7 linked regions of the Nothobranchius furzeri genome follow. Each later gene encodes a partner of the first gene's protein in a complex. Links are inferred from orthologs where the notes say so. Each region holds a gene or a part of one and is shown in the gene's direction. Other genes may lie near its edges. The genes, in order: prpf4, lsm5, prpf8, ppih, lsm6, prpf31 and lsm8.

Region 1 (3,949 bases):
CAAGATTTTGTAGTCAGCCCTGAATTTTATCAGCAGCTCAGAACTACATGATGGACAGCAGCAGCTCAGGAGTAGAGCGGGTTGTCCACTAACCCGAAGGTGGCAATTTCGATCCCAGCTTCAGACAGAGAATGCTGCCGTGGTGTCCTTGGGCAAGACCTTTACCTGCTGGTGGTGGTCGGAGGGACCGGTGGCACCAGTGCTTGACAGCCTTGGCCGTCAGTGTGCCCCAGGGCAGCTGTAGCTACATCGTAGCTCATCTCCACCAGCGTGTGAATGGATGAATGATGCACTGTAGTGTAAGGCGCTTTGGAGTCCTCAGGCTCTGAAAGGTGCTACACAAGCGTGGGTCGTTTATCATTCATTTACATGTTTCACTGATCACGCTTCTCACTGCTCAGGTCACTAACAAGCCCTCCAGATGCTTTATCATCTCACTGCAAAGAAAGCATCCAGTAATTCGTCCTAATGTTGGTTCTGCCACTGCTGACAAACCTCCACCTTCACCAGCAGGTGGCACCACCGTGCATTGTGTAGGACCTACTGATAATTCAAGTTAGAAAAATTCACCCAACATCAGAAAACCAGTTTTTCTTAACCTAAAAGGTTTACCAAGCCGGGCACAAGAGTATCGATCAGCTGTGACGATTTGGCGCCACTAGGTTTAGGGTCCTACTGTGGAGGAGATTAAAAATTCACCTAATTAAAGACACATTTATCAAAAAATGTTAGGAGAGCAGGGCAAGTTGATTTATGTGGCAGACCTACAAGAGTTAGCCTGTAGGGGGGGAAAACCGCGTCTAACCCCGCAAGGAAGCCCCGCATGGATGGGGAAAACACGCAACTCTATGAGTTTCGAACCTGCAACCTTCCGGTTAAGGGGGGGCTCTGGGCTCCTGTGCCACCGTCACCCCATCAACGTAAAAGCGTCGCAAGCAGAGGTTTTAAATAACGCAGGTGTTGCGGGTTGACTCCACACAGCGTTATGTTCCAGAACATCCGAAGTTGTTGAGGCGGAAAAGTCGAATCTGTGAACATCATGTCAACTTTACTTCCGTCCACCCGAACCCGTTTGTGTGACGAACCCAGGTGACTTTACCTGACGCACCGAGACTCTCCTTCGTCCTGATCGTCAGCTGTTTGGTTATCTGGCTAACAGGTAGATTGGTTAATTACCCATAAGTCCACGGATCCACCAACCGGAAAAAGAAGCTTTGACCCGGAAGCCAACAGTTTCATATCCGGGTTGCAGTGCTAGGAGACGTTGCGGCTTCGTCTGTTTTTACGGTAAGTTTGAACAACAAAACAAACGAAGCTTTAAAACAGAGAAACACGCTTATGGTCCAAACAGCAGGTGCGCGTGCTCGGCTAGACACGCGTGTCCGTGAGCCGTTAGCTCCGAGTCACGTGCGAACATCAGAACGCTTCTATGGTTTCGTCGTGCGGTCCGTGTGTGTTCTGCACAGCTACGGTTACAGCACCAGTTCACTACTGGTGTGGGTTGCAGCACCAGTTCACTACTGGTGTGGGTTGCAGCACCAGTTCACTACTAACTCACTCATAACATCTATGATAGCTTCCAGGCAGTCAGGTTTTCGTAGAGCTCGTTCTACTGAAACCAGGGCCGTGCAGAGACCTTTGACGGGGCGGGGCTCAAAGTAAAAAAAAAAAAAAAAAAAGGGGGCACTTTTAGATCAATCCAACAAGTTAAAAAAATCTGATAATGAGACCCTTGGGTTCAAACAACATAATAAAAATTTATCAATTAGTGTTAATGTTAGTTAATAAATAATGAACTAACCCTAACCCACCATTGCGTGGGCGATGGTGGCACAGGAGTTAAGATCTCGCCCCGTAATCGGAAGGTTGCAGGTTCGAGCCCCGCTCAGTCTGTCGCTGTCGTTGTGTCCTTGGGCAAGACACTTAACCCACGTTGCCTGCTGGTGGTGGTCGGAGGGACCGGTGGCGCCTGTGCTCAGCAGCCTCGCCTCCGTCAGTGCGCCCCAGGGCAGCTGTGGCTACATCGTAGCTCATCCCCACCAGTGTGTGAATGTGTGTGTGAATGGGTGAATGACTGATTGTGTTGTAAAGCGCCTTGGGGGGTTGCAGGACTCAGAAGGCGCTATATCAAATACAGGCCATTTACCATTAATAGTTTGTCACTGGAGAAACAAGTTATTCAGTTCTTTGGAAGTAAGGGCATTTCTATTGACAGCACCACTATAGCTGCATGCTACACAATTCCTAAAAAAACTGGAAAAAAAAAACAAAACAATAATTCAGTTTGTGAGCAGGAAACATAAAGTTGACTTGTTAAAGGTCGTAAAGAAGCTTAAGGGCACAGGAGTGTATGTAAATGAGCACCTGACAAAGAAGAATGCAGAGATTGCCTGGCAAGCAAGAATTCTGAAGAAGGAGAGGAAAATACAGGATACCTGGATAAGGAACTGTAAAGTAATGATCAAGCTTACTGGACCACCAGAACAGGCTATGGTGGTGAGCATCAAGAGCCTCTCTGAACTGGAAAAACTCAAATGATGAGAAGAAGATGGTATTTAATTCATGGACACAGCAGACTACAAGAAATCAGGAAATAATAGATTTTTTTTTAGGTTTGTCAGTGATGTAGATCATAAAATCTAAAAAAAATATCAAATCTGATAGATAATGGAGTTGACTCAGAAATTAATGGTTGCAGCAACACCCACCTGGACTGTGAATATTATATTGTAGAGGACTTCAAAGTGAGTATGTGTGGATTTTCATTAATACACTTTAACAGCAGAAGTCTCTACAACAATTTATCTAAGATCTCAGATTACCTAAATGAGTTCAAGGAGAAACTTACAGTAGTTGCAATTTCAGATACCTGGATCAAAGATGGAAAAGAGTTATTGAATAAACTGGATGGCTATGAAATGTTTACTCAGAGCAGACAAAACAAAGAGGGGGTGGGGTAGCACTTTTTGTTAGGACTGGTTTTGATTGTACGAAACTAACAAATATGACCTTCATTGTTGAGAATTTGATGGAGTGTCTGACAATTGAAATTAAGTGTAAAAAATCCAGAAACATCATTATAAGTTGTATGTATCGTAGTCCTGGTTCTTCTATAGATCAGTTTAATGAACGTATTGAAACATTATTTGGGCAATGTAGGAACAAAATTGCTTTAATTTGTGGTGATTATAATACTGATATGTTTAAATCAGATGATAATACTAAAATAGCTGAATTTATCAATTTAATGTTTAGTTTAGGTTTCCTTCCGTTGATACTGAGACCAAGCAGGATAACAGCCGTAGTATTACACCGATTGATAATATATTCATAAATCAATCTGACGTCAAGACAAAGAATGGCCTTTTTTAACTGATATTACTGATCATTTACTGGTGTTTACTGTGGTGGAAATGATGAGAAGTGATGAAACATCTCTGGAAAATGTAAATTATACCACAACTAGAAAAAAAACTTCTGTTGCAATTGAAGCTCTGAAATATGAACTGTTTTGCTCTGATTGGACTGATGTTTATGTTGATGATGTTAATAATTCTTATACAGGTGCTGGCCAGTAAATTAGAATATCATCAAAAGGTTGAAAATATTTCAGTAATTCCATTCAAAACGTGAAACTTGTACATTATATTCATGCAATGCACACAGACCAATGTATTTCCGATGTTTATTACGTTTAATTTTGATATTTATAGGTGACAACCAATGAAAACATCAAATCTGGTATCTCAGAAAATTAGAATATTCTAAAGGCCAATGAAAAAATGTTTGTTTCTCTAATGTTGGCCAACTGAAAAGAATGAACATGAAAAGAATGTGCATGTATAGCACTCAATACTTAGTCGGGGCTCCTTTTGCCTCAATAACTGCAGTAATGCGGCGTGGCATGGACTCGATCAGTCTGTGGCACTGCTCAGGTGTTATGAGAGCC
Region 2 (3,755 bases), on another chromosome or scaffold:
AAGGAGGATCACTGTTTCCAGATCTTAAAAGATCCATTAGAGCCGCTCAGACCAAACGCTTCAGGGACGCGTTCACTACCTAACCGTGTGTTTCCTGTTGCTTTCATCAGACAAGAAAGCAGCAAGGCACCAAGTTCATGTTAGCACGTTTACACACACCTGAGCTCTGAGTGTGTTACTCAGGTAAAAAGCATCCAGATCTGGTTTTGTGGGAGAAAAGTGGTTTGCCTGCAGGCTGAGCTAAAGGGAGGTGTGGCTGCTGTGATGTCACAAGAAAGCCTCTTTTTTATGTTTGTATGAATAAAATATTTGTTCTGAAAATATGCACTACTTTAGGACTTGGGTTTAATCATGCCACCAAATAAAAGGAAGTTTTGCTTCAGAGTCAGTTAGAAAATACCAAAATGCAAGTTACTGAAAGGAAAATAACGAATTTCACATTTTTGAGAGGAACTGAGATATTTCTGATGCAGTTTTTAAAGCTTGTAGCATCTTTGATTATTGTTGTTTCTTCCTATTCTGCCCATCACCGTTACTGAACATTAGATAATCAATTAGTATGGAGATCCAACCGGATGTGGGATCAGGTGAGCAGCTGCTGGAAACAACTGGAAAATTATCTGAGGTGGCAGCCAGAAGAGATGTTATATAACTCCGCACAAACAGCTAGAAATCAAAGACGGTTAAAATTAATATTTCCATCTGCATCAAATCCATCTCACCTGCAGTGAGCTGGACCATAACCCTCCATTCTAATGTTTTAGTAGGAATGCACCTTTATACCAGAGCTAGCCACAGTTAGCATGAAGCAGGTTCGTACCTGACAGCCTTTTTTATGGTGAAATCCAACAACCACGATGTGTAGCACCGGCCCCTTCCCTTCAGTTTCGCTGCCGTGAGACTCCATTTTCCCTCAGTCTTCTGTTCTGGAGGTCCGGTGGCGTTTGTGAACTCAGGGGGTTCGGATGTAAACACAGCGAACGGAGCCTAGTTTGAGCCCCGAATCTTTCCCACGCACACACACTCACGCGCGCGCGCACACACACACACACAGCGCTGCAGCTAGATTTCAACAAGATGTTTCCCTGTTCCTCACTTCCGTGTTTGCGTTACCGATTCTGTCAGATCCATCGGGGTCAGAGCACGGATTAGCTGTTAGCATTAGCTTTTAAATGAAAAACTGGTTCAAGTCGCATTTACACAATTTATAACAACCTGTTTCCAATGAATCTACTGACATATTTTCTTGCGAATATCTGATTTTGATCAAATCCTAAAATCAGTCAAGCATAACTTAACCAGAAACAGGAAGTAAACAAATAAACTCTCCATGCTGCAAAATCCATACTTAAGTCTTATACTCAAATATTTTTGCCTCTAAAGTGATTGTTGTTTTGGATGTTTTATTTATTATTTTTTGTGGGGGAATTTAAGTATATTTTTTTATCTATAGCATTCCAAAGTAAATCAGAGTTTGTCTATTCTTGCCTGAATTCGATTTGCTCTTGATTCGATTGGTTGTGACTGCTGCAGTCACACGAAGAAAGTCATGGCGGCTACTCAAGCGACAAACCCGTCACAATTGCTCCCTCTGGGTTCGTAAAATCTAATTTTGTTCCGTTCTTGCTTCAGATAGTTTCGCCTTTAGATACATTTCAATAAGAACCGAACAAGCAGTTCTAATTTAGTGAGTAGCAAACAGAAGTGAGCCGTTTTAGCGGTAAAATCACGCCGGTGTTACGTACAGATCTTTTCACCGAAGTAAACCGTGTCCCCGCTTCCTGACAAGATTTCTAGTCACAGGATTGTGTTCCTCCTGCTAAAATATATTATCTGTGGTGTACGGATTTAATTGTCAGTATGTGTAATTTGTGAAGTAAGCAGTTGCATGTATTTGATAAATTTAGGAACTCGTGGGGGTTATGCTTAGTTCAGCCATCTTTATTGCTTGCATTAATTTACTAATAAAAGTCAAATAAGGAACATTTTACCATTTAAAACATATTATAGCTTAAAGAAAAAGTTTTAAAGAAAACCCCCGGAGATTCTGGTTTAGATGGGGGACACATCTCGATGCAACACCAGCAGGTTTTAGCTAGCTGCAGATAAAGCAATAATTTCGTGTTCAAGCGTGAGTTTTTACCTAATTTATTTTAACAGAGGAGTATTTGTGGCAGTCTAAAAACTAAAAGAAGTGATTGTGTCCTATTTTACAGCAGTTATGACCTGAAAAAGTCAAACCAGCTCGGGTGCCTTAATGAGGATGGCGTGCTGATTGTACACCTGTCCGTGTCTGAACATGAGCAAAAGCTGAGCTGCAGCAGTCATAATAATACTCCTGAACTTATTGTGTTATTTAAATTCAAAGTAGTCACACCCGTGAACAACTTTCGTTGACAACTGACAAGAAAATTCATTTCGTCCATCGACATATATTCAGTTAGATTTAGTCATATTCTTCTGCCACCTACTGGCCAATTAGTGTATGTGCAGTACAAACCTCAACAGTATTTCCCTTAAGAAAAAATGATTTTTAGTAGTTGGTCCTGATTGGTTTTAGATGCTAAACATCACATTAGTTATTTAGAAAATTGTTAAAATCAAACTGAAAACTGTAGAAAATAACCTAACCTGTTATATTTTCAGAGCTTGTGGACAAATGTATCGGCTCTCGAATTCACATCGTCATGAAAACCGACAAAGAAATCGTCGGCACCCTGCTGGGGTTCGATGACTTTGTCAGTATCCTTCCTTAAAAGCTGCTGATCAGCTGTAGTGCGTGATTCAGAGGTGACATGTTCAGATTTGGTCCTCAACTGTGTGTTTCAGACATGGTGCTGGAGGATGTGACAGAATTGTAAGTGTACGTTGTTTTATTAACCGGTGTCTGCCTCATTCATCCTGCTCATCTCCTGGTGTTTCTTCCAGCGAGATCACACCAGAAGGACGGAGAATAACCAAACTGGATCAGATCCTCCTCAATGGAAACAACATCACCATGGTAGGACACAAACGGCTTCGGTCTCTCTCAAACATCACTCAGCTGGATGATTCATGTCGGGTTCATTTCTCCTGCAGCTCATTCCTGGAGGAGAAGGACCAGAAGTGTAAATCCTGTTTTGTGTCTTTTGTTTATTCTCTCCAGGTTTTTGGAGCATATTTTTGTAACATTCTTTGTTCAGTTTTTAGTAAAAGAAGCAGGTCTCACGTGGGAATTAAGATGTCTTTGTTGCAAATAAATCTGTTTGAAAAACATCCTTGTTTCATTTATTTATCATAAAAAGTAAATTTAGTGCAAACATTGGGACAAAATGAAGTGTTACCATCAGAAACCAGTGATAAAATCCAGCATCCAGTCTTTGTTGGACTGTAAAGCTAAATGAGAAGTTTCACTTTTGACTCATGAACAAAAAACGTGGAACCGATCTAGAGCTGAAACAACTAATCGACTTAATCGATTATAATCGATTATTAAAATAGTTAACAACTTTTTTAGTCATCGATTAGTTGTTTAATAATCATATTTTACCGCATAAAGTCTATTTTTTACCACAATCAGACATCGGTTACAAGCTGTTAAATTTGCCGCCAGTGTGTGGCAGTAATGAGCCACTGATCTACCAGTGGAGCCGTAGAAGAAGAAATGAGCCAATGGGTGCCCTCGGTTTTCATGACGTATCACGTTACTGACGCTCATCTTGCTGTGAGAGATGGCGGAACAAGAGGAAATACGGAAGAAAAATAGAAGCGACAAA
Region 3 (3,500 bases), on another chromosome or scaffold:
CTTCCTCAAAGAGACGCCTCTCTACACTGACAACACAGCCAATGGCATCGCTCTACTTTGGGCTCCAAGGCCCTTCAACCTCCGCTCTGGCCGCACGAGACGTGCCATCGATATCCCTCTGGTCAAAAACTGGTGAGCGGACAGCCGTCATTTGAAGAGTAAGAATTGTATTTATTTATTTTTGTGCAGTTGTAAAATAAAAGTAATATGTCTTTACAGGTACCGAGAGCATTGCCCTGCAGGACAGCCAGTTAAAGTGCGTGTTTCATACCAAAAACTACTGAAGTATTATGTCCTCAACGCTCTCAAACACAGACCACCCAAGGCTCAGAAGAAGAGGTGACCTTCACTGGATTTCATTTTTATTTCCTGTTCATTTGCTCTAATTTAAAGCTTTCTCTCCTCATTGGTCGTATTATTTGATGAAGTCCCTGCCTCTTTCTTCATACAGGTATCTGTTCCGCTCCTTCAAAGCTACAAAGTTCTTCCAGTCCACCAAGCTGGATTGGGTGGAGGTCGGCCTGCAGGTGTGCAGACAGGGCTACAACATGCTCAATCTGCTAATTCACCGTAAGAACCTCAACTACCTGCATCTGGACTACAACTTTAACCTGAAGCCTGTCAAGACCCTGACCACCAAGGTACAAGCGCCCTGGTGGAGACACTCGCTTGATCTTGTTTCTGCAAAAGAATGAAAGAAATTACTTAAATGTGTAAAAAAGTTTTAAATCTTTTTTTCTTGTTGAATTCCAACATCTATTTTGGTTCAAATATTTATTTTTCCATCTGTTTTAAAAAGCATTTTTGTCGTTGTCCTTCAGGAGCGAAAGAAGTCCAGGTTTGGAAACGCCTTCCACCTGTGCAGAGAAGTTCTGCGTCTCAGCAAGCTGGTGGTGGACAGCCACGTTCAGTACAGACTGGGGAATGTTGATGCCTTCCAGGTTGGTTATCATTTATTTAGCTTTTGTTTCAAGATCTACAAATGCAAGTAACATTTTGTGGATGGTTAGTGTAAAGTTCCTCTGAGGTTTACTTTGCCAATGTCCAAATGTACTTGGAGTATCTAATGGGCCATTCCCATCTGTACCGGGTCGGCCCGGGCCGGGTAGCCCCAGTCGGCCCCAGCCTGGCCCGGTTGATTCCACACATCCTTGTCTTAAGCCCATGTGGGCTGATTCTACCCACCAATCAGAGGCTTGCTCTAATGGAAGGTGTGAATGGGCTGATTCTACCCACCAATCAGAGGCTTGCTCTAATGGAAGGTGTGAATTTGCTGTCAGCAGTGGTCGTGTTGGCCCTGGTCGGCCTGAAGCAGTACCCCTCGGGAAGAGGGCCGAGAATGAGCCTTGGTTGGCCCGGGAAAATTCCAGGCCACCCAGATATGTAAACAACCTACGCTAACCGGCCCAGGCCGACCCGGTACAGGTGGGAATGGGGCTTAACAGAAGAATGAACTTGTGCATTGGTTCTGTGTTGTAGTTGGCTGATGGGCTGCAGTACATCTTCGCCCACGTGGGACAGCTGACTGGGATGTACCGCTACAAGTACAAGCTGATGAGGCAGATCCGGATGTGTAAAGACTTGAAGCATCTTGTCTACTACCGCTTCAACACAGTATGTAAATGTGTATTTGGGTTGTTTGTACTTAAATCATTTCTGGGTGTTAATTTAAAGAAATGTGTTTTTGGCCAGGGTCCTGTTGGCAAAGGTCCAGGTTGTGGGTTCTGGGCTCCGGGATGGAGAGTGTGGCTCTTCTTCATGAGAGGAATCACTCCGCTGCTGGAGAGGTGGCTCGGCAATCTGCTGGCCAGGCAGTTTGAAGGTTTAGCATCATGTTTTTATTTTAACCACAGAGTGATTTTGTTCACACATTCAGAGGTAGTTGGTGAGAGAGATTAAACCGCCTCGCTGAGCTTTCTGTTTGTCGATTCAACAGGACGTCACTCAAAGGGCGTGGCCAAGACCGTAACCAAACAGCGCGTGGAGTCCCACTTTGACCTGGAGCTGCGAGCTGCTGTTATGCACGACATCCTGGACATGATGCCTGAGGGTATCAAACAGAACAAGGCCAGAACCATCTTGCAGCACCTGAGTGAGTCCTGGAGATGCTGGAAAGCAAACATTCCTTGGAAGGTAAGTTTCTTAGTTTCCTTAGACTTAACCACCTTTTCCATTTTGAACAGGCTGTATTTGTTGTGGTTCCTCTAAATGAATGATTAATTTGTTTTTGGTAGTACAACATGTAGGAAAACCTAAAGCCAATTTAAGACTTGCAGGAAAGTAAAAATAATTTCAAAGTCACGCATTTGCATTACAGACGGGCTCTTCTCTCTTTCAGGTGCCCGGTCTCCCGACTCCCATTGAGAACATGATCCTGCGTTACGTGAAGGCCAAAGCCGACTGGTGGACAAACACGGCTCACTACAATCGTGAGCGAATTCGCCGTGGAGCCACTGTGGACAAGACTGTGTGCAAGAAGAACCTGGGCAGACTGACCCGTCTGTACCTGAAAGCTGAGCAGGAGAGGCAGCACAACTATCTGAAGGTAACAGCAGATTTTATATTTTGTTACAGATCTCATCTGTACTCTATATTTACGTGTTGTTCTGCAACGTGAAACAGTAAAATGACCTAAAACAAAACCAAAGCTTTTATTTTGAAGTCCTCTCACAAAGGCACACTTGCATTGGTCAGCTTGACTGTGTGTAACAACCAGAGGAATGAGATGAATGGTCAGGTCAAGTTTATTATATAGCCCATTTCATACTCAACGGTAGCCCAATGTGCTTCACATAGTTAAAACAATCACAGCTTTAAATGTCACATCATGTTATGCATAATAAAACCAAGGAGTACTGATACAGGACATAGTACACAAAAATAAAAGCATACCAAGTAAAAATTTTACTAAAACTTATAAAAGAACAAAGCTGCACAGACTAGTTATAAATACCAAAAACATAGAATAAATTTAACAACACAGGTTAAAAAAAAAAATAAACCAAGTAGACCACAGATAGGTTAATGGAAGGCATCATAAAAAAGTTTGGTTTTTAATCTGGATTTAAAAATGGAAGTGGTGGGAGAGGTTTTTATGTCTTTATGGAAGACGGTTCCAGAGACGGACCACATAGCAGCTAAAGGCAGACTCTCCGTGCTTGGTGCGAGCTCTGGGTTGTACCAATAGGTATTTTTCTGCTGACCTAAGTGATTTAGAAGGGCAGTACTTTTCAAACATCTGCTATATACAGCGGTCCTTGGCTATTTAATGATTTAAAAGCAAGTAAAAGGACTTTAAAAATCAATCCTGTAAGTTACTGGTAGCCAATGCAAAGATTTTAGGATTGGTGTGATGTGATCATTTCTTGGTGTTTCTGTTACTGCTGGCTGTAGCTGCAGTTGGCCCCTCGCTGTTCGGACACTGGTGCATTCAGGTCTAATTAACCCAATCACTGATGTTGTATCTCTCTGAAGTGTGTGTTTTCTACTTCCAGGATGGT
Region 4 (3,926 bases), on another chromosome or scaffold:
AGTATTAGAACAGCTGTCTTTCCTCCGTGTTGGTCTACTTTTGTGTGGCTTTTTCGGATAGTGAAGCACACACGACTCCTCCTACAGACGGTACACAAGGTTCTGTGCCACATTCATTGTACCTCGTAAATTACGACTTTTTGCCATCTAGTCATGGATTTGTTTTGAAAAATAAATAAAAAATACACGAGCACGCGCGCGCACACAAATCTTTATATTAACCTGTTAACATTTTTTGACATTTTGAAAACGAACCATGAAAAGAAATATGAAATAATTAATCAAAAGAACAAGTCGGAGATGTTATTTTGAAAATCTATTTAAAATATTACTCTGATGGCATACCCTGCCCTGCAAAAATAAATAGTTTTCAAGTCTATGAAGTAAAGATAAGTAATTTATACATTTATAGATCTAGATTCAAATACTGAACTTGAAGTTTTGCCATACATCATACAAAACATGTTTGAAGCATTTATATTAGTAAATCTCTATTATAATGAGTTGGAGAAAATTATAATTTTCTGAGCATAATTTAGCCACTAGGAACTATACATTACTCATCTTTCAGTGTATAATAAGATATTTCAAGTGTTTTTATGTTGGAAAATACTGGGTTTTTTTACTTGTCCAACACATCCAAAATTGACCTATTTCTATTTCTTGCGAATTTCCCAAGTCGTGTTTTCAATATTTGACTATTTTTATTTAGTGAAAAAATATGCAGCACAAGGTGGCGCTCTGGTAAAATCATTCTAGAGTGTTCATTCGTGTTCTCCTGGGTTCTCCTGTGCTCTCTTCTTCTAAAGAGGACAGTGGAGTCAAGACGTACATTGCATTTTATTTTGCTCAACTTAATTCTGTTTTTACTATTCACTGAGACTGTATTTTAATATTTAGTTATTTATTTCCAGCTGACCTTTAAATAAAATTTGAAACATTTTAAATTTGCATTTTTGAACTGCTAAACATCAGGAAAAGGTTGGATTTAAGTTATGTGAAATCCTAGTAATAACATAGCTATGGGAAACAAAAGATTTACACCAACATTAGCCAGGGTCTAAAGAAGAAATATATACAATGCATGTCTAGGTTTTTGTCCCTAGTTGCAATTCGTACCTTGTCTCTCGCGAGCCACCATAAGTTTCTTCTGCGCATGCTCTCTATTTTCAAATGGCTAGTATGTAATTTTTTTTGCCGATTTGTAATTTGAAATCTGTGCAAAAGCGGTCAAAACATATCGATGTCTGTTCAAGCGACAAACCCAAACAACCCCATCGTGTTCTTTGACATTACCATCGGAGGGCAGGTCAGTGGAACCCAAAAGTTCTTTTTATTTTACCGAAAACGTGCTGTCAACGTCACCGCGCTCAGTTACTCATCTCAACGCAAAGTCGCCTTTTGATTAAGTTTATGGGAGAGTAAGCAGAATTTTAGGTATTATGTTTAGTTTATTTGTTTCTTATAATAGTAAATCAGTGCTACGTTTAACGTTTTGTTTAAGTAGTGGATATTTATGTGCTTTGAAAGGCGCAGAGAAAACGTTTAACTTGAATAAAAACGAGATTGAGGTTCTTTTTATCTTCCATTTCAACATTCGACAATCAACACCAAGAAGATTTTATAGGTTTGAGAAAGTGGCTCTGCGTGTGCAAGTGCCACCAGTAAGAACTTGGTTGGCTCACCTGCTTTTTAAAGCATGCACCAGGACATTAACAAAACAGCAGATCTGTGTCGATGCTGAACATGTTCATTCAACATAGCAGACACTGCATGCAAATGGATACTTCTCATATACTTACAAAGTACCCCTGACCACTGATTATAAAGCAAAGTTTGAAATAATCGTATTAATAATTTCAAACTAATGTGAGTTATTTTCAATAATGAAAAATCACAAAACCGTTAAAAATGTGTGCAAAATTTTGCAGAATTTCAGGGCAAAGACATGTTTTCACTATTTTTTCTCTGTTAAACGTAGCATTAGGGCGGCGATGCAGTAGGTTGTCCTGTTGACTTTCAGAAAGAAGGCTGCTGGTTTGAATTCCAGCTGTGGCCTTTATGTGTAGAGCATGTTCTCGCTATTTCTGCGTCGGCTTTTCCTGGGCACTCCTGTTTCCTTTGATGGACCAAAACCATGCATGTTCGGTTCATTGGGGGCTCTAGTGGGCCATTCCCATTTGTACCAGGTCGGCCCGGGCCGGGTAGCCCCGGTCGGCCCCAGCCTGGCCCGGTTGATTCCACACATCCTTGCCTTAAGCCCATGTGGGCTGATTCTACCCACCAATCAGAGGCTTGCTCTAATGGAAGGTGTGAATTTGCTGTCAGCAGTGGGTGTGTTGGCCCTGGTCGGCCTGAAGCAAACCCCCTCGAGAAGAGGGCTGAGAATGAGCCTTGGTTGGCCCGGAAAAATACCAGGCCACCCAGATATGTAAACAACCTACCCTACCCGGCCCGGGCCGACCCGGTACAGATGGGAATGGCCCATAACTTGCTTCTGTGTGAGACTGGTTGTGTATTTCTGCATGGAGTGAGAACCCCTGCCTTTCGCTCGGTGACTGCTGGAGATGGACACCAGCTCCCCTGTAAACATACAGGGAAAAAATGGTTCTGAATATGATTGGGTTTGAAATGTAGCTTTAACTCTGTTGAAGTCGTGTTGCAGGATATGATTATGGAATCGGTAAAGTTTTTTATTACAATGACTTCATGTGGACATTTCCCCTCTCTTTGCTTCACTGCAGCTGAAGTCATCAAATGCTCTTCAGTACAAACCTAATCAGGAAACGGCATCTGATTTAGTTTAATTTGAAGAGGATGTTTCACTTCTAAAGCTACAACATGTAGCTGCTTGTCACTGGGAAACTTACACAAATGGCTGTAACTGATCTGAACCCAGAGCAGAAAGCCATAATTAGAAACAATTTGTTATATGTTCTGTAGCAGCCTTACCTTCAGCCTCGTTCAGACCAGGTGACTCCACCCTACTTGGCCAAACAAAATTTAACTTGCAGCAGAATCTCAAACATATGTAGATGTTTCACCTTCAATCTGTTAGAACACTTCTCATTATTCATTGTTAATCATAGTGGATTTCTGCTATAAGGATTTGTCCAGAAGGACTGAAGGTAGGGCTGGGCAATGAAACGATGGCAATAAATATTTCAAAACAACTTTTCCTCGATGGACATGTGAGAGTGGGAAGATAGAACTTCGGTATGAAGAGTAGAGACCCACAGCTCAGTAGCAGCCAGGCGGATGTGCTGCTAACCGCTCATGTTTGTGTATCTGTAGCCTCCTGCTTCAGGTAAAAGTAGAAAAATGAGAGCCCCAAATGGAAAAAAAGAGATGGACACTGTTAATTACGTCGTTGACAATAAAGGACCGAACAGTTCATTCGTGTGGACGTAGTTTGAATAATTCTTTTGCTGCGAAACTAATGACGTTGAGTGGATGATCTAAACAAAGTCTGTGAAACCACAGGAGCTCATGAGCCAGTGCGACCCGCTGGAACAGCAGGATGTAAAACTTGATAATAAGAACCCAAGTCTCCTCCCCTTCCAGTCAGCTCATGGGTCCCTGGAGCAAAGAAAAAATAACCCGCTTTGCCTTACGCCCTGAATCACAATTATGTCATGTAATTTCAGCTTTGTTTGCTTGTAAAAATTCGTAAATAAAATGACTACAAATCAGAAGTCGCATATATGACGTCCCGACAAAATCTTTTCTCCCCAGCGTAGCTGCTACTTATCAGATAGCCAGATTTATGGTGGTTTTCACGTTTCGTTTAATGCTCCTTCTTTGGTCCTGGAAGAAGGATTCTTTGCTAAACTGATCTCCCCCTCTTCTCTGTCTGGGTCAATTATATCAATTTAGTGGGACGAACGTTTGTAGTCCTATATGTATTTTTCCACACAAAACCTGAA
Region 5 (4,296 bases), on another chromosome or scaffold:
CAAGAAGTACTTTATGATTCCACCTTTCACAATCCCCCCTCTGTCTCTCTCTTTTTGTTTCTCTCTTACTTTCTCTCTCAACCTTTCTGTCTCCACTAACACGTACTGGCACATCCTCACGCCCTCTATGCTCTTCTGTTTTTCTCCCCACTATTTCATCCTTGTTTGCCCCCATACACCATTTCTCATGTACCTCCCAAGCTGTGCAGTGTTTGGGTCGTGCTCCCAGCATCCAAGGTTTATATATATATATATATATATATATATATGTGTGTGTGTGTGTGTCTATAATATTTTTTACAAACCCGAAGTTGGTTACTCGTTAGAATAATTAAAAGAATTATTTGTTTTCATACACTTTATTCATAGACTTCTTCACAACTACAAAAAAGTTTTCCATTGGTTCAATAGTTTTTGTGATGTTAACAAATGTTTGTTATAATAAGAAAATATTTCACCAGGCACATGTTTATGTTTATGTTTATGTATTTAGCAGACGCTTTTGTCCAAAGCGACTTACAAGTGATGTGTTTATAAGAATGAAAAGATGTCTTTTTTAAGTGCACATCATAGACTGTACATACTGTGCACATTTTCCCATTTCCCCAAGATTCACTGATTTCCCTCTTTCCTGTTCACTCTCTCTCTCTCTCTCTCTCTCTCTCTCTCTCTCTCTCTCTCTCTCTCTCTCTCTCTCTCTCTCTCTCTCTCTCTCTCTCTCTGTCTCCCCCTCTCCCTCCCTCTCTCTCTCTCTCTCTCTCTCTCTGTCTCCCCCTCTCCCTCTCCCTCTCTCTCTCTCTGTCTCCCTCTCTCTCTCTCTCTCTCTCTCTCTTTCTTTCTCTCTCTCTCTTTGCCTTTTTAATCACAATTGTCTATTTTTGCTTATTTTGAACATATTTTAAATCATTTTTTGAAACCTTTTTTATATTTTATATTTTTGTGAAGTGCCTTGAGATTTTTGTCTTGAGAGGAGCTACAGAAAAGATTGTTTTCTTTCTTTCTTTCTTTCTTTCTTTCTTTCTTTCTTTCTTTCTTTCTTTCTTTCTTTCTTTCTTTCTTTTAAACGTTTGAACACTTACAGATCAAGAAGAAAGAAAATGTACCTGAAATTGGAATAGGCTTATTTGTGCATATCCCACATTACATTGAGATAAATTTTGAATTTGTAAAAAGAATAGTAAAATAATACAATGAGACATTCACATGAAATATTATGTTTTTACATATTTACAGTAGTTTCTCATTTTCTGTATGAATTTGTTACATAATAGAAATATTACTAATGCTTCAGTTTATTCAAAGTATAACAATGCACAACAAAACAAAAAAACTTTAGTATATTATAATATGAAAGCCAGTGGATATAATATTAATTACAACATATTAGAAATACATTTATAGAAAATAACTTGTTAAAGGAAATGGGTATATCGTATTTTTAAAATGTACTTTTAAATATTCTTGTTTTGTCTATCGAATTAAAACTTTGCGCTTTCAGGACATTTGTCCCTACATAGTTTCCGTAGTCCTCCAATGTGATTGGTCAATGCGCCGAACATAAAATCGTTGTGAGATCGTTCATCCAGTGAGTAACTTGCTAGCTCGGTGTTCGCATCTGTAAAACTAGTAAAACATCTATTTCCTATCTTATTAGGATCTGTTATGATGTAACAATACCTGTACATTGTACTTTATTGTTAAACAATCTCCTACGCTATTAGAGGCTAACGAACTGACCCACGGAATAGCTGGTAGTTAGCACTTAGCTCGCTAGCTACATAGAAGCTCATTTGATAATTTGAACGTTTTAACCGTACATAGTTTTGCATTTAGGCGTGTACTATCTGGCTACAGCTATTCGTTTTAATATTCTCGGGTTTGAATAATGCCTTTGTTACTAGATAATCAATTATAGCTTAAATGTGTATTAGGGTAATGCTAATGCGGTTCTTTATTGTGATAAAATGAGATTTACTCATCTGTTTTATTCTTTTAGATAAAAGCGAAAATGAGTTTGAGAAAGCAGACCCCGAGTGACTTTCTGAAGCAGATAATTGGGAGACCTGTCGTGGTCAAACTGAACTCTGGTGTTGATTACAGAGGTAATGCAGCTGGCATCAGGTGTGGGAATGTTTAGGGTTCTCAGAGTTTGATTAGGTTATGAATCAGAGGGTTTGTTAAGCAGTCATTGATGCATCTTTTTACGCCTTCTGCCTCATGTTTAGTTCTAGACAATGACCCCCTGACAACTACTTTTAATTTTTAATGATCTTTTAATTCATTACAGTTAAGTTCTTTATACAGGCAGACAGGAAGTTGAATGATGTAATCCCATATAGGATTAGAAACTATGAAACAAACACTAACTGAAAAACAGTTAAATTACTGCAGTTAAACTCCAGTTAAATGCTGAGTAATTGGAATAAACTTGAAAAGTTTCGTGAGGACCAAATTTTGCTTTAATCTTCAACAAACTATTTGTGTTTGTGTTGATATTAATTCATTTACCAAGCTAAAGAGAGATTCACACAGGTTACACAGATACATGGAGGAGGAACACTTTTTGACACAACACTCCTACTCAGACATCTTTGTTACAGTTTAAAATGTTCAGTTTTTCAGTATTTGATGTATTTATTTCTTCAGTCAAGACTCAAACTCCATCCCAGTTGCACACCATAATGTGCCACACTTCTGCACTTCAGATGTCTGCCTTTTACACTCACCTAAATAATGATCATTATTAAAATCTGTTTTGATAATTTTTGAATGAATTTGTAATGGTTTATGTTTGCATCAAAATGCATAAAAAACAGTATGCCCCTCTTCCCTAGCTGGCACGTTCAGGTCTGTTGTTGTTTTATTGCCCAGGTAAGTTTATTTTTAATCTGAAGTTTGTGTTTGTCTCTGAGCAGGTGTTTTGGCCTGTCTGGATGGTTACATGAACATCGCAATAGAGCAGACGGAGGAGTATGTCAATGGACAACTCAAAAACAAGTATGGAGATGCCTTTTTGAGAGGAAATAATGGTAAGATTTGATGTTTTCACGCTGCAGGGCGTTATACAACACCGTTTTCCTCTGTTACTATAGCTCCAAGTCATATTTAATGATTAAACATTCCAGGTTATGAAGGCTGTACATTTGCCATGATCTGAGTCTTTGGTGCAGTCAACTTCCTAGCCTCATTCTTATTAGCTCACAGAGACAACATTATTACACTGTGTGCTCTAATAGATCTTTCAGTTGTTTAGGTTTTTTTTTTCAATCCAAAGTGATTAGAGATTTAAATTTGTTGACAATTTTTAAATGAAACTTTCAAAGTCATGCACCACAAGATGTTTATTTTCATTTTCTCATTAAGCATTTTTGCACCTCAAACCTATCTTTATAGGAAAACCACAAGATATTCCCTTTTAAAGTTGGGAAACTAACCATGTCGGAGTTATACAGGAAGCTCACTTCCGATGAAAACATCGAGCCCCTTTGTTGCTGCTTTGAAAAAACTGGTAAAATGCTACTATTTTACAGCATCGTTTGTTAATTAATTCATTATGTTACATTAGAAATGTACTGATTTAGCTTCTGATGGCAGAAACTGATTTGTGTTGCCTCAAAGTGATACTAATTTTGGGTGATTTTTAAATATAATATGCTGTTTGAATTTAAATATTAAATAGAATATTTTGGAAGTGTAAACTTCTACATTAATAGGGTTAATAAGTAGGGTTAGGGAATATTTTGATACCTGTGTGATTTTTGTGGTGCCTCTCTAGACTGAGCAGATACAGCTGCGACTGACTACTAGGGATGCACCGATGGATCGGCATTTGATCCCAACTGGCCGATAGCGCCCCTATCGGTTTTGATCGGAGTTTTCAAAATGGATCAAAGCAGACCGATCAGGTAGGGTTGTCACGGTAACCGGTGTAGCAGTAAACCCCGGTAAAATAAAAAAAAGTTGACAATAATAATAACCGTCCGTTTTTAAAAAAACTATATTATCTCGGTGGTTTACCGTGGCTGCGGTGTAGGCGCGGTGACCCTTACCAGCCACCGTATCATCTGTTGAAGTTGCCAGCGGCACATGCGCACTTTGTTGTTTACAACCAAAACTTTCTTGAAGCTAAAGCTGAAATAATGGCCAAAGGAGGAAACGGCAGCGCGCAGGACATTTATTATACCTCAAAGAAAACAAAGTGGGAAGTACGGGCATTTTTTGAATATTTGAAGAATGCCGAGGGACAGTTTATAGAAGACGGCTATCCTGTTTGCAGCACGTGCAGAAAAAGTGTCT
Region 6 (2,473 bases), on another chromosome or scaffold:
AGAGGAAAAGGCGGAGAGGAAATGGAGGACACTAAGTGGTTAAAAGAAAAACTACGAGGCGCGCCTCGACCAGAGCGGAGAAACAAGCGGCTGGTCTGAACTGAGGAGCAGTGAGCTGCGGCCGAATTTCGTGAGCGCTTCGGCGGCCGGTTTGTCCCCAGCCTAAAACTGTCAGTGTTGTGCCGTTGTCAGGTAAAAACTCTGCACTGCATTTGAATTTAAATCTGCCATCGCTATTGGCTAAGAGGTACCCTAGAACGTTAGCTGGTACCATAGTGTCGTTGTGAGCCTGTGTGTGTGTGTTTCCTAGCGGCTCCGCCCTCTCGCTCTGCTAGGAAACAGCATTTGTTGCATTTTTCAAACAGGAAGTGGGAGTTGAGTAATACTCTGGTAGGGGGTGACTTGCTCTTTAACTACTCAACTTTATTCTTTCAAAAGTGACTTTGATCTGGGGTTCTTTAAGCATCCTAAATGTTTTTATACTTGTATCTCTTAAATGAGTCGTTCTCTCATTGTTTCTTTAACTCTGCTGTGGTCTCAAGTGTGAATTAATGCTTGTGGTAATAAAAAGTTCTGGCGCTCCCGTTTCGTGAGGTAGAAGTTTGTTGGGAGGAAAGGAGGCAGAAAATAGCGGGAATTCTATCTTGCTCATTAATATTAATGATGTTCAAACATCTCGCCTTTTGATTGGCTAACAGCAACATGACGTTTCTACTGAAACTTCAACGTTGATGTTTTATCTCCACAAATAACACAAGCCTGGAGGAGTTCTGCTGTGTGGTGAAGTTGTTAATGCTAACAGTTAGCGTCCCCTAGCTGAGACGTTCTCTGCTGTTTCCTTGACGCTAAACCAACAACAGCCCTCCCCGTTGCGAGTTAAGATGACTCCATGAATGTTGAGCAACGGTGTGACGTTGATCTGTCAGGAATTTTCTAATCTGAGCATTTCCCCGTTAGCATTAGTGACCTCACAACATGGCAGAACACGATCAGACTTATTTGTGGGAGTAAGACATCATCGTTAACGAGGAAGACTTTGAATCTCGTCATTTTCCATCCCTCACTCCTCGGGCTAACTTCTTCCTGAAACGGTAGCGCCAAGAGCTGAAAACGACTCGCAAAGCATTCGTCTCTAGAGAGCACAACATATGTATTAAAACCAGTTTATGCTAACTTTAGTTAGCTGGCTATTTACAGAGAATTTTAGTTCCCTCAAACAGCAACTTGTGCGGTCTCTTCTGGGAGGTTGAACATCATGGACAACAGCCCCGAGTCATTCTGCCCCCCCTCACCTCCGACCCCTTTAGGACTTTAAAGCTTATTTGACCGTAAGGATTTGAGCTCGTTGATGTTGCAGATTGAAGATGACGCCTATCAGGAGGATCTGGGCTTCAGTCTGGGTCAGCTGGGCAAGAGCGGCAGCGGCAGAGTCCGGCAGGCTCAAGTCAACGAGGCCACCAAGGCTAGGATCTCCAAGTCGCTGCAGGTAAACTCGGTCGTTATTTTAATCTCCACCTCCAGATTATTGATAGTCCATGATCTGAACCTTGTTCTCTGTTGTCAACCACAACAGAGGACGTTACAGAAGCAGAGCATGACCTATGGCGGAAAATCCACAGTGAGAGACCGTTCCTCGGGAACCAGCTCCAGCGTCGCTTTCACTCCGCTCCAGGTATGAACCGGATGATCAGTGGAAGAGTTCTCTACTTTCTGCTTTTCATTCATTCATTCATTCATTCATCTGCAGGGCCTGGAGATTGTGAACCCGCAGGCTGCAGAGAAGAAGGTGGCTGAAGCCAACCAGAAATATTTCTCCAACATGGCGGAGTTCCTCAAAGTCAAAAAGGATGCTAAGATGTGAACGTGTTCAGTGATGACATCATCATGTACATTAAATTAGCCCCTATTGTGCTTCGCTTTTATTTTATTTTTTTACCATTTTCTTCATGTGAATAAACCACAGAAACCCCAAAGCGTGTGCCACCTTTAGAACCTTACGCCTGAACTTTGACCTGTTAGGTTTAACCACCTTGTAAGCAGAGCGAATCCCCCTGGGAGCAGCGAGACCTTACACCACCACACACCCATGTGTAATTTCTTAAAAGTATTTATTGAAATTTTACAACTGTTTCATAATCCCATTTTATAACATCTCCCATGCAGAACTGTGATGAGAAAACGGTTGAAATTCACATTTTTGCGACTTCTTAGCTGACCTTCCTCTCTGAAAACCTTAAAAGCCCCAAAAATATAATGTATTAAAGGCAGATCTCAGAACTTTGCATCTTCTTTTTCCCCCCTTCAACACCTCCTCCTTAAAATAAAATCAAAAATTGATCCGAAACATGAGTTTAACATCATCCAGATCTGCAGTTCTTTTTTCCTCTATTACACTTAAAAATGGAAAAGTTGGATTTTTGTTTAACACTCCGCCCGTTCGGACCACCGAGGAAAGTCTGGAAACACGACCCCA
Region 7 (4,049 bases), on another chromosome or scaffold:
CTGCCCTACTTTACCTCTACATTACAGTTCCTTTATCCATGTCCATCCTAGAGATCCTCTCTGACCTTCATGCTTATTTAGAGCAGCTGATTTTTAAAGCTAGCAGAGTTCATCCTTGGCAGTGGGTTCACTCACTCATTTAACCCTTCACCACTGAAATCAGTTTGTTCATTTCAATCCTCCTAAATAATCCTCCAATCATCCAACTGGAATCCTTAAGGGTCCCGTAACATCCATCCTGTCAGAACAGGCCTTGGGAGCCCAGGTGTTACTAGAACTAACGGTGTCTCCTCACCAGCGTGAGCCTCCAAACATGAACTTTAAATTCATGCATTTATCTCCTCTTGTAACACTTTAACATGTTTTAAAAGGCTTGTATCATGATAAGTTACACCTCCCAGACCAAAGATAAGATAAAACATTATCATAAACACTGCAGAGACGTCATTATTTATGAAATATATGTTATTTTCCTGAGCCGTTACTTCACCCAAGATATGAGATGCATGGATTTGATGAAACCACGCTGTCTCATGCAGTCCTATATGTGTAACACACACACACACACACACACACGCACGCCATGACTAATTTAACTACATTGAATTGCTTTAGTAATAATTTAATCTCTAATTCTGGAGTAAAATAAAGAAACAAGCTAAATCATCACATATCTGTGGCATCAAGGAGCAACTTCTGAGTTCAAACACAGGGATGGAGCACAATGTTTACACCTGAACAGTATCATGATGTTTTAACTCACAGAGGCCTGCAGCTCTTCTGTTTATGAGCAAAGCGCTGATAATCCGCTTGTTATGAGCACTAAACAGTATTTTGCCGCTGCCGTGCGGAGCGGTAGGGAAACACATTTCAAACACGGAACCGAGTCTCGCTACCGAACCGAGCAGAATTCTGATGATGTCACACTGGTGCGCGAAGGTGCAGGTTCCAACCACAGGAGAGGAGGGAGAGAGGTGATAAACAGCGAGTTGATCGACTGAACTGATGATGTCTTTGAGCAAAAGTGTACACCCCCACACACCCCCGGTTTAGATGCGGTCCTCATGCAGGTGTCTCTTTCCGTTCTGACGCTGCTTCACGTAATATTTTTAATTTATTAAGCCTATAATTTATTTTTACTCAGTAACGGATATGATTTAAAATGTAGCGAATTACAATTCTTTTTAAAAAACTTACTCAAGTAAAAGTACAGATTTTAAAAATGACTTAAAAAGTATAAATATACAAAAAAGCTACTCAATTACAGTAACGTGAGTAAATGTAATTCATTACTTTCCACCTCTGTCGGATGCTCGAGCATCAGGAAGCAGAAAAGGAAAGACAATAGAAAATGTTTAAAGGGAGGAAAACGTAGACCAAAATGAAAAATAAATTTAAAAAAGGCAAAAGCTCAGGAGCACTGACAGGAAGAAGAAAGCAGAGCAAATATTGGAGGCACTCAAAGGGAGAGAAAGACATGAATAAAGAGGAGGACTAATAAAAAGGGAAAATAACTCATGGCAGAAGAGGGGAGAGTTTTGTAAATCCAATTAAAAGTAAGATTGCCGAAATTTATTTTAAGGGGGCCCCATGTCTGTGCTCGCCTTGGGCCCCAAATTGCTAAATGCGCCACTGATAGGGCTATAGTGTGTTTCATTTCTGTACCCAATATTTTGTCTTTAGGGTTGTAGCTCTGACATCACCTACTCACACGTTTAAACAACTTTCCAGATCAATGTTTGATGATAACATTTGGAGGAATTTGAATAAAAAAAACGTCACCGCTCGACCCTCCGCGCCCCTTCCTGCGCGATGATTCGGCGTATGATTAGTCTTGACTTGTCTCCGGTGTTTTGGTGCGGTGCGGTTTGATGCTCTTTCCGTTTTATTTTTTTACACAGCGGCGCAAATAGACAACCGTTGGAGGGATTTACCGATTTTTCTGCTGGACAGATAGAGACCGAGTCCGGGACGAAGCATGTCCACCGCGCTGGAGAGCTACATCAACCGTATCTTGCTGCTAGCATGCTAACTGCATGCTTAAGAAGTGCTAGTTAGCTTAGCGCGCTAGCTTCGATGTTTATGTAATTTGTTGTTGTTTAGGTGGAGTTTAGAGACGGTAAAAGCTAAAGCGACAAAAAAACTACTCATTTTTATTTAGAACTGAATGAACATACCTGGAATAACTTTTACGTAGCAGTTCAATTTCAAATCAGTGTTTGCATAAAAAAAAATCACTGATAGAATTTTATATGATCAGATGGCGTCAAAACGTAGATATTAACGGTTCTGATCTGCGTTAGTTCGGTTTCACGGGTTGTGAATAAAATATATTTAGTTTGTTTCTGATTTAAGATGTCGGGTTATTTAACTGAAGCACACCCATCGTTGTTGTTCGGGTGAAAACGGAGAAGCTAGACGTAATTTACTGATGAGTTGTGCACAGATGATGTTTCCTTGACTCCAGCTGATCCAGGAACTGTTGCCATCGTCACCTCAGACGGGAGGATGATCGTGGTGAGTTCACGTTTTCAGCTCAGCTGGACAGCAGAGAAGATGATACGGTTCTGGTGTTTAGATGTTTGAGGCTCCAGCACAAGGATTTCCCCTCCACCTGAACCGAAGCCTCATTTAAACCGGTGTCGGTCACAGGGGATTTAGTTTTTCCCTCGACTGTAAATCCAGAAATCTAGTCCTGTTCCCATCACTACAGATGCTGACAGACACGTTTTTACTTTTATGGTCAGATTTTTACTGTTTTGGGGCATAAAACTGCAGATAACTGAAAATCATTTTGAAATAAAAGTTCAAGTGTAATCTGAACTATTAGTATTTTATTAGCCTGGTTGTTTTAAGTATGATTCATTGTAGCTCAACACCACCAGCGTGTTGATGAATAATAATATTAAGTTGCTTTGGAATCCTCTGACTGAAAGGTGCTGTACTTATTTATTTATATTTATTTATTTATCATTTGGGTGTTCAGGGCACTTTGAAGGGCTTTGATCAGACCATCAACCTGATCCTGGATGAGAGCCACGAGCGCGTGTTCAGCTCCAACCAGGGGGTGGAGCAGGTGGTGCTGGGCCTCTACATCGTTAGAGGAGACAACGTGTGAGTCACCTCGGTCAAACTAAAACTAAATGAGAAATGATGACCCCTAAGGACGTCCCGGTGCACGGGGAGCTCGGCTGCTCCTCGGACAGCTTCTAACCGTTTCTCGTGTTTCTGCTCCAGCGCCGTGATCGGGGAGATTGATGAGGAGACCGACTCCACGCTGGATTTAGGGAACATCAGAGCTGAGCCGCTCAACTCTGTTGTACACTGACCTTTGAACCCTGCTGTCTCCATGGCAACCCATCACAGTACAGCTCAGTTCTGTTGCTGTCGTGTTCTGGGAGGCGTGATGAGTGGTGAAGCTGCAGAACCTCGATTGTTCTGTTTCTGTTTGTATTTTTTATAAATAACATGTTGGATTTGTTTTCTACTTCATGTTTTTGTCAGTCTGAGATCATTTTAATAAAGTCTGATTTGTTAAGCTGTTTATAATGAAGTCCTCCGGTCTCTAAACATCCAGACTCTGGAGCAGAACAAGAAAACAACACATAAACAATGAAACTTTAATAAAATATGTGGAAAAACAAGATCGTTGCCAAAGAAACATTAAATAGCGCCAACTCTACGGCTTTGTTCAAACAGCTCATGGTCTCTATTTTAGTTCTGATATCTTTAGTCATGAATGAGTAATTATTTCTCCATCTGGAAGAAGAATGAGGATCTGTCCTGTTCTCATTTGTCTAGCATCGATTAATCGGGGCTGCCTATGGACAATCGTTAGCATTGACTGCCGATGCTCGCTTGGATTAGAGGCGATTGAATCCACTTGAGAATCGTTCGTGGAGCCGGGAGAGGAGGGGAGCGCTTTGTCAAGCAGGAATTTATCAGGAGAGCCCCGATGTTCAAGGTTCAAGGTTGTCTTTATTAATCCCCAAGGGGGAAATTGAATTGCCTTGGACAAGTAAACACAACATGCACATCCACACAATAAA

Evidence for each region.
Region 2: prpf4 (region 1) and lsm5 share a complex: the UniProt entries of both Homo sapiens proteins name them as parts of the precatalytic spliceosome. The link is inferred for Nothobranchius furzeri from reciprocal best matches to the Homo sapiens genes PRPF4 and LSM5.
Region 3: prpf4 (region 1) and prpf8 share a complex: the UniProt entries of both Homo sapiens proteins name them as parts of the U4/U6-U5 tri-snRNP complex. The link is inferred for Nothobranchius furzeri from reciprocal best matches to the Homo sapiens genes PRPF4 and PRPF8.
Region 4: the proteins of prpf4 (region 1) and ppih are in contact, whole or in part, in a crystal structure (PDB 1MZW), measured with the Homo sapiens proteins. The link is inferred for Nothobranchius furzeri from reciprocal best matches to the Homo sapiens genes PRPF4 and PPIH. Residues at the interface, in NP_004688.2 of Homo sapiens: Arg113, Gly116, Glu117, Pro118, Ile119, Thr120, Leu121, Phe122, Gly123, Glu124; in NP_006338.1 of Homo sapiens: Phe14, Arg26, Phe46, Cys47, Thr48, Gly49, Pro57, Ile58, Gly59, Tyr60, Lys61, Gln173, Cys174, Gly175, Glu176, Met177.
Region 5: prpf4 (region 1) and lsm6 share a complex: the UniProt entries of both Homo sapiens proteins name them as parts of the precatalytic spliceosome. The link is inferred for Nothobranchius furzeri from reciprocal best matches to the Homo sapiens genes PRPF4 and LSM6.
Region 6: prpf4 (region 1) and prpf31 share a complex: the UniProt entries of both Homo sapiens proteins name them as parts of the U4/U6-U5 tri-snRNP complex. The link is inferred for Nothobranchius furzeri from reciprocal best matches to the Homo sapiens genes PRPF4 and PRPF31.
Region 7: prpf4 (region 1) and lsm8 share a complex: the UniProt entries of both Homo sapiens proteins name them as parts of the precatalytic spliceosome. The link is inferred for Nothobranchius furzeri from reciprocal best matches to the Homo sapiens genes PRPF4 and LSM8.

What each region holds. Positions count from the first base shown.
Region 1 is NC_091746.1:69,563,499-69,567,447, reverse strand, and holds the start of prpf4 (U4/U6 small nuclear ribonucleoprotein Prp4), read left to right. Parts: upstream 1-1,149; 5' UTR 1,150-1,287; intron 1,288-3,949. UniProt on the Homo sapiens protein: Plays a role in pre-mRNA splicing as component of the U4/U6-U5 tri-snRNP complex that is involved in spliceosome assembly, and as component of the precatalytic spliceosome (spliceosome B complex).
Region 2 is NC_091747.1:62,679,445-62,683,199, forward strand, and holds lsm5 (U6 snRNA-associated Sm-like protein LSm5), read left to right. Parts: upstream 1-1,471; 5' UTR 1,472-1,549; coding exon 1,550-1,595; intron 1,596-2,646; coding exon 2,647-2,742; intron 2,743-2,829; coding exon 2,830-2,857; intron 2,858-2,928; coding exon 2,929-3,001; intron 3,002-3,078; coding exon 3,079-3,111; 3' UTR 3,112-3,255; downstream 3,256-3,755. Other genes in the region: late secretory pathway protein AVL9 homolog, read right to left, coding at 821-907. UniProt on the Homo sapiens protein: Plays a role in pre-mRNA splicing as component of the U4/U6-U5 tri-snRNP complex that is involved in spliceosome assembly, and as component of the precatalytic spliceosome (spliceosome B complex).
Region 3 is NC_091753.1:37,704,106-37,707,605, reverse strand, and holds part of prpf8 (pre-mRNA-processing-splicing factor 8), read left to right. Parts: coding exon 1-132; intron 133-219; coding exon 220-339; intron 340-451; coding exon 452-641; intron 642-821; coding exon 822-941; intron 942-1,479; coding exon 1,480-1,614; intron 1,615-1,692; coding exon 1,693-1,822; intron 1,823-1,936; coding exon 1,937-2,133; intron 2,134-2,338; coding exon 2,339-2,545; intron 2,546-3,494; coding exon 3,495-3,500. UniProt on the Homo sapiens protein: Plays a role in pre-mRNA splicing as core component of precatalytic, catalytic and postcatalytic spliceosomal complexes, both of the predominant U2-type spliceosome and the minor U12-type spliceosome.
Region 4 is NC_091755.1:32,545,059-32,548,984, reverse strand, and holds the start of ppih (peptidyl-prolyl cis-trans isomerase H), read left to right. Parts: upstream 1-1,126; 5' UTR 1,127-1,243; coding exon 1,244-1,309; intron 1,310-3,926. UniProt on the Homo sapiens protein: PPIase that catalyzes the cis-trans isomerization of proline imidic peptide bonds in oligopeptides and may therefore assist protein folding. Participates in pre-mRNA splicing.
Region 5 is NC_091744.1:10,586,904-10,591,199, reverse strand, and holds the start of lsm6 (U6 snRNA-associated Sm-like protein LSm6), read left to right. Parts: upstream 1-1,496; 5' UTR 1,497-1,585; exon of another isoform or gene 1,586-1,626; intron 1,627-1,646; exon of another isoform or gene 1,647-1,751; intron 1,752-1,996; 5' UTR 1,997-2,008; coding exon 2,009-2,102; intron 2,103-2,915; coding exon 2,916-3,029; intron 3,030-3,393; exon of another isoform or gene 3,394-3,508; intron 3,509-4,296. UniProt on the Homo sapiens protein: Plays a role in pre-mRNA splicing as component of the U4/U6-U5 tri-snRNP complex that is involved in spliceosome assembly, and as component of the precatalytic spliceosome (spliceosome B complex).
Region 6 is NC_091745.1:76,602,936-76,605,408, reverse strand, and holds the end of prpf31 (U4/U6 small nuclear ribonucleoprotein Prp31), read left to right. Parts: intron 1-1,357; coding exon 1,358-1,486; intron 1,487-1,573; coding exon 1,574-1,672; intron 1,673-1,747; coding exon 1,748-1,861; 3' UTR 1,862-1,973; downstream 1,974-2,473. UniProt on the Homo sapiens protein: Involved in pre-mRNA splicing as component of the spliceosome. Required for the assembly of the U4/U5/U6 tri-snRNP complex, one of the building blocks of the spliceosome.
Region 7 is NC_091741.1:34,219,555-34,223,603, reverse strand, and holds lsm8 (LSM8 homolog, U6 small nuclear RNA associated), read left to right. Parts: upstream 1-1,353; 5' UTR 1,354-1,978; coding exon 1,979-2,009; intron 2,010-2,476; coding exon 2,477-2,517; intron 2,518-2,986; coding exon 2,987-3,114; intron 3,115-3,237; coding exon 3,238-3,328; 3' UTR 3,329-3,549; downstream 3,550-4,049. UniProt on the Homo sapiens protein: Plays a role in pre-mRNA splicing as component of the U4/U6-U5 tri-snRNP complex that is involved in spliceosome assembly, and as component of the precatalytic spliceosome (spliceosome B complex).